Oryctolagus cuniculus: one gene and its partner. Each later gene encodes a partner of the first gene's protein in a complex. Links are inferred from orthologs where the notes say so. Each region holds a gene or a part of one and is shown on either strand. Other genes may lie near its edges.

The links. Proteins that work in one complex are often made in the same cells at the same time.
Region 2: the proteins of DNAJB1 (region 1) and NUDC are in contact, whole or in part, in a crystal structure (PDB 7NDX), measured with the Homo sapiens proteins. The link is inferred for Oryctolagus cuniculus from reciprocal best matches to the Homo sapiens genes DNAJB1 and NUDC. Residues at the interface, in NP_006136.1 of Homo sapiens: His166, Lys181, Lys182, Met183, Lys184, Ile185, Ser186, Asp201, Lys202, Ile203, Ile235, Phe237; in NP_006591.1 of Homo sapiens: Pro102, Gln103, Ile104, Lys105, Glu106, Leu107, Ala112, Leu115, Gln116, Ile119.

What each region holds. Positions count from the first base shown.
Region 1 is NC_091447.1:63,136,972-63,141,175, forward strand, and holds DNAJB1 (dnaJ homolog subfamily B member 1), read right to left. Parts: upstream 2,856-4,204; 5' UTR 2,748-2,855; coding exon 2,537-2,747; intron 1,905-2,536; coding exon 1,324-1,904; intron 1,219-1,323; coding exon 988-1,218; 3' UTR 75-987; downstream 1-74. UniProt on the Homo sapiens protein: Interacts with HSP70 and can stimulate its ATPase activity. Stimulates the association between HSC70 and HIP. Negatively regulates heat shock-induced HSF1 transcriptional activity during the attenuation and recovery phase period of the heat shock response.
Region 2 is NC_091438.1:144,574,150-144,577,095, forward strand, and holds part of NUDC (nuclear migration protein nudC), read right to left. Parts: intron 754-2,946; coding exon 550-753; intron 467-549; coding exon 401-466; intron 9-400; coding exon 1-8. UniProt on the Homo sapiens protein: Plays a role in neurogenesis and neuronal migration. Necessary for correct formation of mitotic spindles and chromosome separation during mitosis. Necessary for cytokinesis and cell proliferation.

The sequences.
Region 1 (4,204 bases):
CCGCTGGAACCTCCCACCCCCCGCACCCCCCCACCCGGTGCCCAGAACCAAACACGAGCCGAGGGCCGCTCCCGGGAGGTTTCTCATACAGTCTTTAATGCCATCACCCTGCACAGCGACAAGTCACACACACTTTGGTCTCATGTCGGCAGTGGCAACGTACAATGAGTCTCAAGGGGCTGAGCACCAGACGGGTGTCCCGGGAATAGACCCCGCCTCCGCCCGGGGCCATGGGGGCAGGGCAGGGCCCGTCTGGGGGCACCCCGGCCTGACGGGGAGTTATAAAAACATTTACAGGCTCCTGCAATCGGGAGCAAAGACCCTTTTATCAAAAGGGATTATAGCTATGTCTCTATACATCTCTCCAGGGTTGTGCAAAATTCCGAAGGATCAGATCCCTTTGAGAGAGAAACAAAACGAAACGAAACAAAACAAAGTCCAGAGTCCATGGAACAGAAAGGGCACCCGGAGCTGCCCAGAGCTCGCTCTCGGCAAAGCACGGCTGGGCCCCGTCTCCGTGAGCTCCCGGGCTCCCGTGGTCCCGCTGGAAAGAGGAAGGTATTGCTTGTGGGCGCCGGCCGGGCAGTTCTGCAGAGTCTAGCTTTCTCCACCTGAGATGGCCAGGATGAGCCGGGGGGTGGGGGTGGGGGGAGGCATGGAGCAGGGGAGACAAAGCACAGGACCCAGCTGCAGGTGCGGGGGGGGGGAGGTGTCTGGAGGAGCGTGGGGCGGGGCGGGCCTCGTCCTGCTCTGCCCACCACCTGCCGCTCCGCCGCCCGAAAAACCAGCACAGTCGAGTGCACGACTTTCAAAGATTGTAATATATTCTCTGGAAAACATAGAGCAGGATCAGGCTCCCGGGCCCTCCCGCCCTCTCACGGTCCACGAGTGCCGGGGTAGCCGGAGACGCTGAGCTCTGGCGAGGTCCCTGGGGCCGGCGGCGCCCGGATGATGCGGGGGCGGTGGGTGGGTGGGTGTGTGGGGGCGCTAGATGGGCAGAACCTGCTCCAGGACGGTTCTCGACGTCTGGGGGATCCTTTCGGGGAAGACCACCTCAAATTCGATGATGAGGTCCCCGCGCTTCTCCGGCGTCTTGGGGAGGGGCAGGCCTTCGCCCGGCACCTTCCGCCGCATGCCGGGCCTGATGACGTCTTTGAAGACAACGGGGATGCTGCGGCCGTCCAGAGTCGGCACGTTCACCGTGCAGCCGCACAGGGCCTGGGCGGGGGTGGGGGGGGGTAGGACAGCGGTCAGCCGCGAGAGCCTGGGGAGCCCCGCCCGCCCCCAGCGCACCCCCACGGCTCCCCACCCCCGCGGCCTCACCTCCCGCAGGCTGACGCGGGCCGGGTAGATGACGTCCGAGCCGTCTCTCTTGAAGATGTTGTGTGGCTTGTCCTTGAGCACGAACACGATGTCGGCGGGGATGTTGCTGGAGGTCTGGTCCCCCTCCTTGGGGAAGGTGATCTTGGTGCCCTCTTTCCAGCCCCGCTTCACCTCGATCGTCAGGATCTTGTCTTCGTTCCGGATGCTCTTGCCGTCGGGGTTCAGCCGCTTGTGGGAGATCTTCATCTTCTTGGTGCAGCCGCTGTAGATCTCTTCCAGGGAGACCCTGAGGTCGTGCGTGACGGGCGGGTCTTGCTTCTTGCGGGTGGGCTCCTGGGCCGGGCGCGAGCGGCCGAAGTTCATGTTGGTGAAGCCGCCCACGCCCATGGGGAAGCCGGCGAACGGGTCGTCGATGTCCATGCCCTCTTCCCCGTTCCGCTGCCCAAAGAACGTGTCAAAGGGGTTCCGGCCTCCGAAGAACTCGGCAAACATGGCGTGCGGGTCGCCATGGAACGTGTAGCTGAAGGACGTCCCGTTGGCCCCGCCGCCGCTGCCCCCGCAGGGGCCGCCGCCCTTCAGGCCTGCGAAGCAAAAACGCAGGGACGTGAGGGGGCGGGGCGGGATTGCTCTCAGCCCGCCGAGGGCCGGACCCCAAGCTTGCACCTGCCGCTGCAGACACTGGGGGCCTCGGCCCGCAGGTGACAGCCACCAAGGCCCGGCCCCTGCCTGCTCCCGGCTGATCCTCCCAAGAATCCACCAAGAGACCCAGACATGACCCGGGGTGGGGGAGAGGGGGGAAGAGCGGCGGCCACGTCCCCTGAGCCCAGAGAGAACGTGGGCAAATGCAGGCCAACCAAAGACACCCCGGAAGCTTTCTGAAGCTCTCCCGTCCCAGCACCAATCGCCGCTGCCCTGATGATCGGAAAAAAAAAAAACACACTCTACTGGCTCAGGACCGAGCCCGGAAGCCGGTGAGTCACCGACGGGCAGCTGGGCAGGCCGAGACCCGGCCGCCCCCCGCCGCGCCCCCCGCCCCGGCCCGCACCGGGTGCAGACCCAGGGAGGGGCCGCCCGGACGTGCTGGAAGCTTCTGCGCGAGCGGCGAGCCGGGGCTCCTCCTCCGCCCGCCGGGGGCCCTCTCAGCAGCCCCCCACCCCCGGCCGGCGGCGCGCGTGCCTCGGTTTCCCCGCGCGCCGCGGCCGCGCGCACGCACCCTCCTCCCCGTAGCGGTCGAAGATCTCGCGCTTGCGCGGGTCGCTCAGCACGTCGTAGGCCTCGGCGATCTCCTTGAACCGCTCCTCGGCGCCGGGCTCCTTGTTCTTGTCCGGGTGGTACCGCAGCGCCTGGCGGCGGTAGGCCCGCTTCACCTCCTCGTCCGACGCGCCGCGGGCCAGGCCCAGCGTCTGGTAGTAATCCTTGCCCATGGCGCCCGCCCGCGGCCCCGCCGTACCCGGCTCCGCCGCCGCCGCCCGGCCCGACTCTATATACCCGTCCGGCGGAAGCTTCCAGAGCCCGCCAGCCCCCTCCAGAACCTTCCGCCCCGCCCCCCGCGCCGCGCCGGCCAATCGCCGCGGCCTCGGCCCCGTGACGCCCCCATCCGGGGCGGGGCCGGGCTGCCAACGGCCGCCCGCGTGCGGCCACGCCCCTTCCCTCTCAGACCCCCCCCCCCCGCCTCTCCCGGCAACGCCTCCCCGCGGCGAGGGCACTGGGCAGGCGGAGGGCCCGCCCACCCCCTCGGGGAGAACCAATCACGACTTCCCGCTCACTGTCTTCTAGGATCTGGCAGGCTGCGAGCCCTGTCCGTTGCCGGGTCCACAGGTTACCGCAGCGGAACGCGGAGCTCCGGGAAGGGGCGGGGCGAGACAAAGCCCCGCCCCTCGAGGTGGCCCCGCCCCTGTTCCCAGCAGATATAAACCTGGCCTCCCGTCTCGCAGGCTGGGTCGTGCAAAGTTCGGCAGGCTTGGTGCTGTTTAGCACAAGTGCAAGAGTGGCACGCCCTCCTCAGCCAGCGGGGAGGGGACAGTGCGAGCCACGTCCACTCCCCTGGAGAGGGTCCTGCCCTTCCTGCCCCTGGTGTCACCCTTGCCGCTGAACTTGCCGATAAACTTGAAATTCCCTTTTCCTTGGCTTCCCTCCCTCCCAGCCTGGGCTGGCGACCAGGACCAGAACCGGGTTCTGCCTGTTCCTAAACAGTCCCGGTATTTGGCTCCTCAACAGACCTGGTTTCTGGCTTTAAAAATTTTTTTTTATTGATTTCATTTTATTTGAAAAGCACAGAGAGAGAGAGAGAGAGAGAGAGAGAGAGAGAACTTTCATTCAATGGTTCACTCCTTAAATGCCTGCGATAGCCAAGGTTGGGCCAAGCCAAAGCCTGGAGCCAGGGACTCCATCCAGGTCTCCCACGTGGTTGGCAGGGACCCAAGCATCACCTGTTGTGTCCCAGGATGCTCATTAGCACGGAACTGGAAGGGCAGCAGAGGAACCACGAGTGAGCCCAGACGCTCCCATGTGGGATGCAGGAGCTCTGGTTGGCATCTTTTTTTTTTTTTTTTTTTTTAAGATTTATGTATCTGGGGGCCAGCGTTGTGGTGCAGCGGGTTGAAGCCCTGGCCTGTGGCACCAGCACCCCATATGGGCACCGGTTCTAGTCCTGAATGCTCCTCTTCTGATCCCTCTCTCTGCTATGGCCTGGGAAAGCAGTGGAAGATGGCCCAAGTCCTTGGGCTCCTGCACTCATGTGGGAGACCTGGAAGAAGCTCTTGGCTCCTGGCTTTGGATCAGTGCAGCTCTGGCCATTGCAGCCATTTGGGGAGTGAATCAGCAGATGGAATATCTCTCCATTTCTACCTCTCTGTAACTGTCTTTCAAATAAATAAATAAA
Region 2 (2,946 bases), on another chromosome or scaffold:
TCCGCCTCCTGCTCACGGTCAGGGGTGCTTTGCTACTTTCTTGGCACAGACTGACCCCACCCCACCCTGGGCTGCAAAGCAGAACCTGCTCCCTGCCCGCTCAACAGAGAGGCAGATCCCCAAGCCCTGGATCCCTGGGAACCAGAGGTAAAACCTGACCTGATATCTGCCAAGAAGAGCCCAGGCTATCTCACCCCACAGAACAAAGCTCGTGGCTACGTCACGGAGCCAGCCCACCTCAGGCTGCAGTGTCCAAGCTTAAGACCAGAGGAGTTTGCCTTTGCTGGCCCAGTCCTTTGGCCACTGTCTCAGAGGAATCCTCAAAGACGGGGAGGGAGCACCAGAGAAAGCGGCAGGCTAGAGCGGCCCCTGGCCCCTGGCTAATCCCAGTGCACCTCACCTGCTTCCCCGGAGAGCCAAGGCTGCCATTCTTGAGCTGGGCCTCATGATTCTCTGCATCTTTTTTCTGTGGTAAAAGACACAGCAGTGGGCAACAAGGCCCCCAATGCCAGTGGGGATCTGGGAGGGAGAGCGGGGGGCTCCCCTGACCTGGTCAATCTCCAGCTGCAGCCGCTCTGCCTCCTCATCCGTCAGTTCCTTGATCTGGGGCCCAGGGGTCTCTGACTTGGCCTCCTTGGCCAGCCTGGCTGCCCGCTCCGCCTTCTCCCGCCGCTCGGTCTCCTGCCGCGCTCTCTTCTCCCGCCGGGCCTTCTGTGCCAGCTGGTTGTGGTGGTTGAAGGTCTGTGTGATGAGCTGGGGCACAAGAGAAGACAATGAGGCACCACAGCAGGCCGCGGCCCAGGCCTGGGTGCCACCGCATCTGCTGCTGTGGGGCGCCCGGCAAAGCACTGCACTCGCAACTCAGGTCCCCATCTGCACAATGGGGTGATGCACCCACCTCAGAGTCATAATGAGAATACCTACAACGAACCTAGCTCAATACATAGTGGCTACTTTAAAAAAAGTAAAGTTCAGTGGCCAGAGTTGTGGTATAGTGGGTTAAGCTGCTGCCTGCAGCAATAGCATCCCATATTGGCCCCAGTTCAAGACCTGGCTGCTCCACTTGCAACCTAGCTCCCTGCTAACATGCCTGGAAAAGCAGAAGAAGATGGCCCAAGTGCTCAGGCCCCTACACCCACATGGGAGATCCAGAAGAAACTCCTGGCTCCTGGCTTTGGCCTGGCATAGTCCTGGCCGTTGCAGCCATTTGAGGAGTAAACCAGTAGATGGAAGACCTCTTCGTCTTTGTCTCTCTCTCTAACTCTGCCTTTCAAATAAAATAATAGAGGTCAGCACGGTGGTGTAGTGGGTAAAACTGCTCCGGGTACTGGCTGGAGTCCCAGCTGCTCCATTTCCAATCCAGCTCCCTGCTAATGGCCTGGGAAAACAGCAGAAGATGGCCTAAGTCCTTGGGCCCCTGCACCCATGTGGGAGACCTAGAAGAAGCTCCTGGCTCCTGATGGGTGCAGCTATAGCCATTGCAGCCATCTGGGGAGCGGACCAGCAGATGGAAGACCTCTCTCTACCTTTTCCTCTCAAATAAATAAATAAATATTTAAAATTTTTTAAAAATTCAAAAAACTAAGAGGGTCTTCAGTCTTTTAAGGACCTGTTCCTTAAGGCCGGCATGTAACAGTGGGTTAGGCTGCCACCTACATGAACACCGGGTTCGAGGCCTGGCTGCTCCACCTCAAGTGCTTGGGCCCTTGCCACCCACAGGAGAGACCTGGATGGAGTTCTGGGCTCCTGGCTTTGGCATGGCCCAGCCCCAGCCATTGTGGCTATCTGGGGAGTGAACCTGCAGATGGAGGATCTCTGTGCCATTCTCTCTGTAACGCTGCCTTTCAAATAATTAAAAAAAAAAAAAAAAAAAAAAAAGCCCGCTCTTCTGATGCTCTCTTGCCTGGGTGCGTCTTTGCCTGCAAGACCCCACCTCAGCACACGCAGAAGGCCACATCGCTTTCATGAGGGCAGAGGCTGGCCTGTCAATTTCAAATCCTTTCTCTCCCACTATGCCCTCTACCCCGTACCCTGCCAGCTGGCCCCCTCCACTCAAGGGCTCCCCACACACAATCCGACCCGGCGACCTTGGGTAAGTGAGCTGGGACTCTACTGAAGCCTCAGTTTCCTCATTTGCCACAAGAACTCTGACAGCACCCACCAAGAGCCTGGCACAGGCACGGCAGGTAAGCTGCCACTGGGATGCCTGCAGTCCATACCACAGTGCCTGGGTTTGAATCATGCCTCTAACTCTCCATTTCAGCTTCCTGTTAACGCATACCCTGGGAGGCAGCAGGTGATGACTCCAGTATTTGGGTCCCCGCTACCCATGCGGGAGACCTGGATGGAACCCTTGGCTCCTGGCTTTTGTCTGGGCAAGCCTGGATGCTATAGGATCTGGGGAATAAACCAGCAGATGGGAGATCTCTCTCTCTGCCTTTCAAATAAACAAATTTTAAAAAGAGCCTGGTATGGTTTATATCACATCATAGTCACATAGACAGTGTAGGCTTCCCAATACGCTAGGACTGGCTGCAGCTGGGCCTGTCAGCTGCGGGAACAGAAGTGCTATGGCCATGGTGACACCAGTATCTCTGGAGTGTGATTCTTCAGCCCTGTATCAGCATCACCTGAACCACTCAGAAATGCACTCTCTCAGGCCCTACTTCAGTAACACCAGAAATTCTAGAATGTGGTCCAGCAATTTTTATTTGTAACAAGCCCTCCTGGCCAATTCCCTCATGCACACCTGACAGTCACTCTCACATCTAACTTCTTGGTTTATTCTTACTTGGGTGCCACTATTATTTCTAAAAAGCAACCCTGGCATATGGTATCTGCCTAGAACGTCCCTGCCCCCCACCCCCCCCACCCCCGCCAGGGCACCTGAGAAACTCCAGACTAGTTCTCAGGTGCCCCAGGAGAACTCGGGTTCTTCAACAGGCC